3 linked regions of the Oryzias latipes genome follow. The protein of the gene in region 1 binds, or shares a complex with, the protein of each later gene. Links are inferred from orthologs where the notes say so. Each region holds a gene or a part of one and is shown on either strand. Other genes may lie near its edges.

Region 1 (4,372 bases):
CAATAGTACACATCTCTTGAAATTGTTCTTTAAATACACTTTTTTTTTTTTTACAAAAAAATAAAAATAAACTGTATATGAAAAAACACAGGTCTGTATTTTAATTACCAACATTAAAAAAGTCAACGTGTTCACATCTGTATTATTAGTGTTTTTTGCTCAGGCACCACTAACCTTGGCACGGACGTTTTCAAATGAGGCCGGACTCACAAGAGAGAAGCAGATGAGGAACACATCCTGTAAGACAAAGACAAAAAAGGTTCAGAGTCCATGAAATTCATTTCCTGTTGAGCAAAAAATAAATAAAAATAAATAACCTATCGCTAAGGTGGTCTGTTTAACTTTCTTTAAAACCCTCTTCTACATTTGAATACCACAAATGCTCCCAATTAATTATTTATAAAAGTTATCAACTAAATAACACCTTGTCTGACTATTTTTGTCATTGTACCGTCTGTGGGTAAGAAAGTGGGCGGAGTCTGTCGTAGTCTTCTTGTCCAGCTGTATCCCAAAGGCCCAGGTTCACCGGCTTCCCATCCACCATAACATTGGCAGAGTAGTTATCAAACCTGTGAGAATCAAGCATTCATAAAAACTCAGTTATGTCATTCAAGCCTTGCTACATATTTCTGAATTTCTATGATCATTAGATAAATCAAACAGGTTTTTTGGGGGTCAAAAATCAAAGCCTTGTTCATCAGCAGTACATGTTTTCAGCTTGTTCTTGAATCAGAATAAAAGCAGAATGTACATTTATAAATAATCAGAATGAACCAAAGTGTTTTGAGTGACAAATTCCCAAAAAGCCACAGATCCCACAACTAAGAAAATAAACTAGCTGGTTGCACTTCTGGTAATTTTACATAACAAATGCTTCTCTGAACCCAAACAGCTGCCTGTTAAAAAAGAAAGTGACTTCTTATGTACAAGGAAACTAATATTCCCCCATAAGACCAGTTGAAGAAATGAAACAAAGACACAGTTAAGCAACAACTGTCCAGAAGAAGAATGACAGACAGCTTAGCCATTATGAATAAATAAACACTCACACTGTGGGGATGTACTCTCCTGGAAAGGCATTGGTGGTGTAGCTGATGAGTAGACATGTCTTACCCACAGCACTGAATAAGAGAAATGTTATGTTCAGAATTCAGGAAAATAAAACATATACAAGCTGTCATTAAAGTCAGGCTTAAGTTGTTCGATTATTTTACATTTACAAAGCTAAAAACAGTCCAAGCATTTTATTTAATAACATCAAAGTTACTTGAAATAATTACAACCATTAAAAATATAGTTTCAAGTTAAATGTGGACACTACGCAAAGTTTGGTTTTTAACAAACTGAAAGGAGGAAGTCTGAGAGTCACATTATCATCCGTAGGATAAAAGCAGGATCAAAATAATCCAATATCAAAAATCAATAATTGCCAGTTAATCATTTATTATCATCTCGTAGGTAATGTCAGTTTTATTGAAGCACTCCTGATAGAATGAGTGCACTGATTTCAGGAAATAAGGTTTTTTTTTCTCTTCCAGGCTAGTTGATGAGTAAGCAGATATTTTAAACTTTTGAAACTTTAAAGAGAACTGGTGCCTTAGAGTTTCTTCAAGTCGGAACGGAAAACAAAACAAAAGTCGGAGAGGTCGAGGGACGACTCCGCTGCGGTGGGACCAGCCGCACCCTCGACAAGACGTTACAAGTGTGTTTACCTCTAGCATATTACACATCAGTCAGACTTTCAATATTAGCTCATTGACAATCCTGTCTTTAAAATATTGCAAACTAAACCTACTAATTTAACTATTGTGTAACACAAAAACACGCCCGTGTCAATACAACAGAAGAAGAAACAAATTTCAACTCTTCGAAAAAGTACATATAATTTTTGCCCATTTTGTTCAAAAATAACTTCAAAACAAATCTAAGATCAATCTAACTCTATTCACTGATTTTGGCGTAAATAAATAAAAAAATCTGGAACATTGGATCCAGAACGGTAATATCAGGGGAAAAACAAATGCAATACAAAATGTTGTACATTTCGAAAAAAAAAGAAAAGAACTTGAAAGTCCAATATTTAACCGATAACTTGGCTAACTTTACAACTCCAAAAATAAGACGCAACATTTATGTCGAATGACAACTTTTCGACATCACTGGCGGTTTCAGGGTTTGATACCAAAACTGTCGATTAAATGTTAAATATCACAGTGAGTTTAGTTAGGTTCAACTTACCCGTCTCCAACAACGACACACTTTATGGCCTGCATTGCGCCGCAGCTACAGGAATGCTAAGTTAGCCCAGAGCCAGTTAACGTTAGCTCGGATAGCTTGTCCTTTGTCCGCAACTCCTCTCAAGTGAAACTACCCAACAGTCTTTGCTAACAGTCGACCGCGCTAACTCAAAACTTTCTAAACGGAGAACGGCTTGTTAGAAAATAAAGTTGCGGCGACTCAATTCGGACTTTAGGTCAACTAAACTCAGAAATTCCCTGGCAACATTCCCATGCTTTCGTGAGCTGCTCTATGAGTTATGGAGCAAAACAGCGGCCACCACCCCTATAGCTAAAGAGAAAAAAAAATGAAGCCAGCTCTACAAGATAGGGCATCCGGCGCACGCCCACAGACACCTTAACCAAAGAAAAGATAGCCTCAAACTAGTAGTAAAAAAAAGGGTCAGCTACTCTGGTCTTAAATATAAAGCTTAAAGTTATATATAAATAACATTTGAAAACTAAAATATTACATTTTGGTTTAATGAAAACAAAATAAAAGAAATCGTCGAAGACGGAATATTTACGGTGTGACACCTAGGGTGGAACTGACGTCAGTTTTGACGCGTCTACGGTTCATTTACGATTACAATGGAATTTTTGGTGTGTTGTTTAATTTCCCTGAATTATGCCTTTCAGGCTGAAAAAGTTTTTTTGGAGATGGAAGGATAGCTTGCTCTCCCACCCCTACACCACGATAAATTCAATTATACCATACCAGCAAACATGCACTGTATTAAAAAATAAAGTAGTAAAAGAAAAAAAAAGTCAATGTGTGCCTATTCTAATACGACAAAGATATTTAGCTTCAAAAATGTAACACAATCAATGATTAGTTGGTCATTGTATTTCCAAAAAGTCTGTAGTACTTTGCTTCAGTTCAAGATTTTTTGTGTAGTGAACTTCTGGAAAACAAACCAATTTACCTGGTTTTGTAATGGTGCAAAAACAACATATATACATATTTAGTAACTCAAAAAACCTCTTCTATGTTTCTGTTTGTTTAGTTTTATGAGAACCATAGTAGTTGTGTCTAGGACGTGTTTTTTTTTTCCTTAGCCACCACCCAGATCTGGAAGTCCTTTCAGTCTTTACTCGGGGTTTTATTTAATCCTGGTTTTACTGCACTTCCGTGTGTCGCAGCGATGTCTGTCCTCGGTAGAAAACTAACAGGGTGGAGTAGATGCCAGTACAACGGCAGCAAAAGACGGAGCTCGTTGAGGGTGAAAGATAGAAGAATGGAGCTTCATCCAACACTTGCAGCCATTGTAGCGTCCCCTTGCCTGTTGCCTTTGTAAGCCAAGAACACAGCGCTCAGGGTTGGGCTTTTATGGCGAGTCTTTCGTATCTGGTGCTCCGGTTTTCGGGCTCCGCTGGTCGGACTTACGGACTATTCTCCAAAGGCTTGACGAGGACTTTGTTGATATTTTTTGATCTCGCATGGCGGCTGAGAATACGATTCCCCTACTTTTACTTGGTAGCCTCAATGGTGTTTAACGTCAGATTACAGGTAAATGTTTACACACTATTTTCAGACTGACGGTCACGGTGAGCTTGTCACCATGCCAACAACAGCTGTTGGGGGGCCTCGATAGGGAACCTTTGTTCTTATAGTCAGTTAATCCCAGGTTAAATTGATATATAATCTCTACTACGTGCTGTCCCATAAAACTGGGTTCATGAAAATCATCTGTTAATCGGAAAAATAATTTACTGACATTTGATCAATAGTGAAACAAGTTCATATTCACCCATATTTAGTGTTTGTATCTGATCTAAAATAAAAAACAGTAGTCTGTAATGTGTAATCAGTCAGGGGAAACAACAAAATAGATTTTTTCAATCTTAAATATGAAATATTAGCAATAATTGATACTTTTATACCACAGAAATGTAGTATATCAGCTTTTTTCCTTGTCCTTTGAATGTGCAAAATGGAAAATGTGACGTTTTTGTCTTTTTACAGGTCCATATAGAAATCCATTGAGTCTTTAATGCAAACCTTTGGACTTTAAGAAGTGAACGGTAAGACCTCCCATGCTCAAGATGGGCTGACAGTGATTTCTTACAATCAAACTTGGAACAGAAGTTTAAAT
Region 2 (2,518 bases), on another chromosome or scaffold:
AGAATGGTAAATGGTAAATGGCGTATACTTATATAGCGCTTTCTACCTTCTTACGAAAGCCCAAAGCGCTTTACAGTCACAGTCCCATTCACCCATGCACACACACATTCACACACTGATGGCGGCTCCGCTGCCAAACACTGGCGCCAACCTCCCACCAGAGGCAAGTTAGGGTTCAGTGTCTTGCCCAAGGACACTTCGACACGTGGGCGTGCAAGGCGGGAATCGAACCTGCAATCTTACGATCATGGGTCGACCGCCCTACCGCTGCACCACGGCCTCCCCATACATGTGAACTCATTCACACTGATGAAGCAAAAGTTCTCAGTAAACAGGAATATGATGTCCAAACTTCCTTTCAGTTGCATCTCGTTGCTTAATGGTGATGTTGACAGAAACGCCTGGTTTGTGCGCCGCCACCACTTCCTTACCTTCTTTTCTTTGCACCACAAAGTGATGCGCCCGGCACGGACCTGGCTCCACACCGTTTCCATGTCTGTGTTTGCATCAATCGCACGTTGTCCGCTTGAATCTAAGCTGAAGCCAAAATACGACGGTAACTTTTGTCATACAAAGATGAGGATCAATGGAAGGTGTCAGTTTTGGGGTTAAAATGATGGCTCTACCTTAAGGAGATGTTGTCTGACGGGAGCTTCACCTTCTTGCTTATTTTTCTTATCAGCACTTCATAGGAAGACTCACGTGGTATTGAGACAGCAAAGGTGAATGTGAAGTGAACTTTGACGATGTATAAACTGTCTGGAACCTTGGATTTGAAAGGAAACCGAATGATCAACGAGGCGTTTATGATGAGGACCACTGACTGTTGGGTTTGTCTCAGCGTACCGTCTGCTCTTCATTTCCATTGCTGTCGTTCCCAGAACTGAGACCTGAACGGCAACAGACCAGATCAAACATGGAGAAACGGAGGAAACGAGAATGTTTTAAAGCCTGTGTGTCATAAAATCTACCTCGAGTCCTCTCCGGTATATTCGGTGCTTCTCGACTTGAAGTTGGAACCAAACCCTGGTGACAGTTATTCCCATTAAAGGCAATTTTCAACAACACGCAAAAATTTGAGAGGAAATCAGGATACTTAAAGATTGAAACTACTCCACATGTCAAAGTTGAGCTTTTAATAAAAAATATAAATATTGTGTATCAATTAGGGATGCCACAAGTGTTGATCAGAAACCAAACCGTATGTTAAACCATTAAAGTGAATCGTTGAACACGGCATACCAGTGTTTTAGGTTAAAAGTGTTCAACAAGTGTGCTAAATTTAAAAAGCATTCAGGCTGTATTCAGATTGGAAACATTTGCTCAACTTGAAGAGAACCAGAGTTCATTTCAAGTTTCATTCTGAGGACCCTGGCAAGCAGACCCTGATCCTGGACCAGGAACCGCTCTCTGATCCGTCTTTCGAGGTGGTTTCAGTTCATTTCCAATCAGACTCATTTCTGGAGTTTTTCTCAGTCTGAATAGACTCCATATTCAGAGCAGAACAACTGAACCTAAACGGCTACCTCATCTTTACAGGATGTAAACGGATGAGCCGCAGAGAATTGTGGAGCGACGATGAGACGCAGCAACTCATTAAATTTAATGAGCAACTCTTTAGCTCATTAAAATAACTTTTAACGTGATACACATTGTTTTCACAGTGTTTCCCGACAATCTGTGTCATAAACAGTTATCTTGCAGCCTCCGACACAGACGTTCAAAATTGTTCAGCAAAATATAAAGTTTGGATAATCCGACATGGATTGTAGGACTTTCATTATTTATCTCCTTGCTGTGTCCTGCCAATGGTTGCAGAGATTTTCAATCACATGCTTTTGTTTACAAGCTTTGGTTCGAAACAAATCTCCAGCTGAAAAGCCATCTGAGTACAGACCAAATGCAAGGTTCAGGACTTGATCCAGACCAAATTAGGCAAACTGGGTCTAGACCAACTAACTTCTCCAGTCTGAATACATCCTAGTATTTATTGTTTTGTTACATTACCCCAACCCCAAGTATGAGCCAAGTGAAGTCTTTCACTTCATTGTAACTCGCTGATTACCAAATTAAAAAAAAGGATTTGTCCAAATTTTTTGTTTTTTGTCATTTTATAAACAAATCTTATATCAAAATGACACAAAACTGTGACCCAAAAAAAAATCAAAATTTGTGCTAAATCGTGGAGAAAGTGAATCGTTGCATCCCTAGTACCAATACCTTTTTCTGTTTTAAAGCCAGAGAGATCTCCTGACGCTCCAGGTAATTGTACGGTACGAGTCCCGTCTGTAATCATAACCACGAATAAGCACTCAGTTCTCTACTAAACACACAATCTGGGGGAAAAAAATGATGCACACACTCTCAAGAAGTATCACAGATTGTGCATACGGCATTCTTACTCTTCCATTGAAGATGACATAGGCCCAGTTGTCTGCCCCTTTCTGCAGCACGAACACCATGTTGCCGGGCTTCACGGCCAGCTCGTCGCAGGTTTCAGGAACAAACTCAAACAGTA
Region 3 (4,238 bases), on another chromosome or scaffold:
TATAAAAGTTATGATCGCTGGAACAGGAAACAGATATTGACTTGGACCTTTTGAATATTTTTCCAAACAGTAAACACTAACACATACAGTACTTAAAACTGACAACAGTATATTTACATTTTCAAACTAGCAGCTACAGCATTTACATCTACCGTATGTGGTATATTTTTGATCATATCAACTTTTTGATCATATCAACTTTTTTCTTTGATCTCAGCTTCTTGTATTTCTCCAGGGTCACTAACTTGAGCGAACCGTTCCTCCACCATTCTGTGAGGGGGGTCCAGTTACTCGTCATCTGTCACAGACATGGGATTGTCATAGGCAGCTCCCTCCACATCCTTGGCTTGCTTCCGGCGTATCTCTGGAGGAGGTCGTGGTGGTGGGTTCTGAGGAGGACTTTTGATGCTTTCAGCAACAGGTTTCCGAGTATCTTTGCGAGGAAGAATTGGTTCCCAGTGTTCACCTCGGACAGCTGCCTAGATAGCAGGAGAATGTCAATGCTTTGCCACAAAAGGATAGTGACTATGTTGTTTACTCAAAATTGGAGATAAACCTAAATTTAAACCGTGTTACATCTGAACCTTTGAAACTCATGGAGAATTCAGTCACACCTTCGTTTAATGTTTTGCAATAACGTATGTCATGTTTCAACAGAGACACCACTATGGGACAACTTCTAAGTTGCAGTTTCCTTGTTTCCAGAAACTAACCACTTCCCGCCATTACAACACACTTTTCAAATTTGACAACTGGTGAGCTTTGAACAACTTACTGCCAGATAGATGAGACTGGCAATGCCAAGACAGACACATCCTAAAACTGTGGCAAGCATAAAACCTCCAGGTACACAAAGCCTGTAAAGAGAAATACAAAAGGGTTTAAGACCAAACACAGTCATGGCACAAGCCTATTGTTAGTGAGTGGAAAGAATGCCGTTTGGCAAAAGAAGGATTGACACAAAACAGTCCACTTATTCAAGCGTGGCATTGTTTCAGAACCACAAAGTCAACTTTATTCAACTTCTTTTCAAGACATTAATTAAACTGTTTTTCATCAAATATGTATCTGAAAATATTTCTCTTTTACTTCAAATTTTTCCAATCAAATAAGGATTCATGATCTTAAGTTTGATAAATCTATATATGTTATTCTCTCACGTTTCTTTTCTTTTTTACTTTTTCTTGTTTTGACTGCTTGAAATGAATTTCTAAATTTAGAATTCAAATCTTACTTACGCTGCATGCAGAAACGCTCTGACATAATAGTTTCTTGTTACTGGTCCGAAGGCTTTTACACACACTGTGAAGCAGTACTGGCCCCTGAAAGAAAATGAGTAGTGAGTAAAAAACCTTATAATAGTTAGGAAAATACGTGCTGATGATGAAATATGTAATAAAGGTAAGACTACAGGGAAACTTACGTCCTTTCCACACTCGTACCCTTGGCCCTTTTGCTCCTGGGATACTCGAGCAGGCACACAAAGACCCCAGCAGCACTTGATTTCAGTCAAGGCATTTTAATTATTGTTATCACTTCAACATCATCATCATAAACACACATAGTGCTTAATATAAGACTAAAATGTGCTAAATTGACAAACAAAACAAACTTTTTAATTTAATCTATCAGATTTTGGACTTTATGGTTACATAAAATGGATGATTTTTAACATTTGGGTGAAAAAATCAAATCTTAACTTAGATGAACAGGAAAAGAAAAAAAAACCTCATGGAGGAACCTGCATTTACTGAACATGCACAATAAGGAAGTGTGTACCGGATACTACACAAGTTGTGTTATGAACTAATACTCATCTGTCTAAGACACAGAAAAAAAACAATGTAGTTAGACTATAAAAACAAATATTGAAATATTCAGATGGGATGATATACATTATCTTCAAAAAAAAGGTGAATGAGGCTTTACACTTTCAGGTATTAAAATTCGGGGAAACCTCTCCAGGTTAACCCTGCGCATGCGCCACTTGGTTCTCATGAACCAGAGTGCAAACTGTATTAAAGAGTCTAAATCCCAATACACTTCTTATAATAAGGTAAAGGATACATAGCATAAGAAGCAAACTCCCAGCCTCTAAACTGCCCCGCCACTCCCACAATTCCTCCGGCGAGAAGAACTACAAGAAGGAAACAGGAAGGTAAAAAAATAAAACAGCATTAATGACAACAATCCACCTTTACTTTCTATAGATGAACATTATTTCTGCAACTGGAATTACCATACAGAAATGGAGCTATTTGTTCTAGTGTTAATTGTCCTAGTTATTTCATGACCTGACAAAAAGCAAATACTAACACTTAAAAAATCTTTTGTATACTCACTGAGGCCTGCAGCCAGAGCCTGTTCGTTGGCCCACATGGCCCACTCTATTCTCCCCATGGTGCTGACCCCAAAAACGACGCGACTACGACGCTCTACCTGCGACGACACCTGACCCTGCAGCCTGCACAAGGAAGACGACGCGCTTTAGAGGAGGTGCAGCCCGTAGACGTGCGGCTGGGAGGAGCGGGGCGGGGCGGGGCGGGCGGGACGCAGCCCCGCCTCGCCCGTCGTTTCCGAAAATATGCGGGATTCCCGGGAGGAGGGCGGGGCCAACACCCACCGGACAGGTGCAGCAAGGCCAGGGAGGAATTTCACTTAATCATTAAATAAAGTTTCACCCTTTTCTTCCTGGCAAGGAAGCAATAGCTTCGTTTAGTTTCTAACTTTTTCCTGTTTGTTAACTGATGCCTTCATCTGGATTTGTGTGTCATTCTCTCACATAATGAAACGGACAATAAAGGCCACATTGAATAAAGTTTAAAATATTTTTTACAAACTATTTATCCCAGGTTTAATGTCATTGACAAATACAAGATCTTTAAGGCAATGCAACTATAACATCTCTTTCTAACAGCGAGTAAAAGGAACAAGCTTACTGACAATGATGTAAGAAATCAGAAGACACAAGAGCTGCTGTCACATTTAACATTTATTTAGAATAGAACCTAAAAACTCGTGATTTGAAGTGACTTAGAAGACGCACTGTACAGTTTACATGGGGAAATTAAGATTTATTTTGCTTCTATGCTGGCATAAACTACGGAGCCCCTAAAGGGACATAGATGTAAAAGAAATTGTACTGGTTTCTCATGCGCACAATAAACCAACTGTTGCACACGAGGAACTAAGTGGTTATTATTTCTTAGGACTCCCCTACAAAGACTTTAGCTTTGCTTGCCTGGTGTCACCGTTATGTTACCTCTGAACGTCACCTAAAACGAGTTCTAAAGTCATGTAGTTTGTTTTGGTACCGGGGATGCACTGGCTTTGATCAGCTGCTGTGCTGCACACTGGGTTTTTTTTCTCGTGTGCATGAGAAACCAATACTATTATTTTTTTTTTTACCTCCATGTCCCTTTAGGGGCTCCATAATAAACTGTATAAATCTGTAAACGTAAAAAAACAAAAAAAAACAAAGCTACTTTCAAAGAACTAAAGTTTATGTCTTATAGTTTAGGAAAGCCATCAGGTGACAGCAGGTGTAGAGAGGGATCCTTCACAACCCGGGGGCCTGGACCAGCCTGGAATGTATGACCAAAAAAAAGAATCACTCTGCAGCTCAAAGAACATCCTCTTTGTCTGTATTTGTATGTACCTTGGTGCTAATAATGTAGCTTATTCCCTTTGGCATGGGTTCTAAGCCAACACTCTGTTTCAGCTGCTCAGAGACGGCAGCACTCTTGACTGGAAGACCTTTGATGAAGCTGCAGAGGAAAATAAAAGCAGCTTTGTGACATATTTTTGAGGGAGCTAAAGGCGAACAGGAAATAAGAGTGTGATAGCATAGAAATACAACAGAAACACCTATGCAAGTCTAATCAAATATATATATATATATATATATATATATATATATAACAAATATTAATCCCAGCTAATTACTCTGTACTACTATTACTACTTTGTAAAGTACCATTTAACCCAGAACTCCACTTAAGGTAGCATCATCACTTTGAAAGGATAAAAGACAGAATAGTTTTATATTATCGAAAATAAATTCAGGCATGGAGAGGTGAAACATAAAAAAACAAGCAAAATGCCATTTACATTATTGCCACATATGTTTTTATAATAAAAATACTAATTCATTTCAAGGCACACTATTTCTTTGAGCAAATGTGCATAGGTGCAATTTCAAATGTATTGTTTTCAGCCAAAAATAAATACTATGAACA

What was found.
Region 2: ras-related C3 botulinum toxin substrate 1 (region 1) and ncf2 share a complex: the UniProt entries of both Homo sapiens proteins name them as parts of the phagocyte NADPH oxidase complex. The link is inferred for Oryzias latipes from reciprocal best matches to the Homo sapiens genes RAC1 and NCF2.
Region 3: ras-related C3 botulinum toxin substrate 1 (region 1) and cytochrome b-245 light chain share a complex: the UniProt entries of both Homo sapiens proteins name them as parts of the phagocyte NADPH oxidase complex. The link is inferred for Oryzias latipes from reciprocal best matches to the Homo sapiens genes RAC1 and CYBA.

What each region holds. Positions count from the first base shown.
Region 1 is NC_019866.2:11,732,817-11,737,188, forward strand, and holds the start of ras-related C3 botulinum toxin substrate 1, read right to left. Parts: upstream 2,822-4,372; 5' UTR 2,274-2,821; coding exon 2,239-2,273; intron 1,122-2,238; coding exon 1,050-1,121; intron 570-1,049; coding exon 452-569; intron 238-451; coding exon 175-237; intron 1-174. UniProt on the Homo sapiens protein: Plasma membrane-associated small GTPase which cycles between active GTP-bound and inactive GDP-bound states.
Region 2 is NC_019878.2:10,707,996-10,710,513, forward strand, and holds part of ncf2 (neutrophil cytosol factor 2), read right to left. Parts: coding exon 2,403-2,518; intron 2,287-2,402; coding exon 2,221-2,286; intron 1,027-2,220; coding exon 972-1,026; intron 891-971; coding exon 847-890; intron 767-846; coding exon 627-766; intron 538-626; coding exon 432-537; intron 1-431. UniProt on the Homo sapiens protein: Subunit of the phagocyte NADPH oxidase complex that mediates the transfer of electrons from cytosolic NADPH to O2 to produce the superoxide anion (O2(-)).
Region 3 is NC_019861.2:22,090,543-22,094,780, reverse strand, and holds the start of cytochrome b-245 light chain, read right to left. Parts: upstream 2,811-4,238; 5' UTR 2,401-2,810; coding exon 2,343-2,400; intron 2,138-2,342; coding exon 2,068-2,137; intron 1,499-2,067; coding exon 1,424-1,498; intron 1,323-1,423; coding exon 1,239-1,322; intron 858-1,238; coding exon 776-857; intron 480-775; coding exon 288-479; 3' UTR 1-287. Other genes in the region: mvd (diphosphomevalonate decarboxylase), read right to left, coding at 3,510-3,584, 3,659-3,767. UniProt on the Homo sapiens protein: Subunit of NADPH oxidase complexes that is required for the NADPH oxidase activity that generates, in various cell types, superoxide from molecular oxygen utilizing NADPH as an electron donor.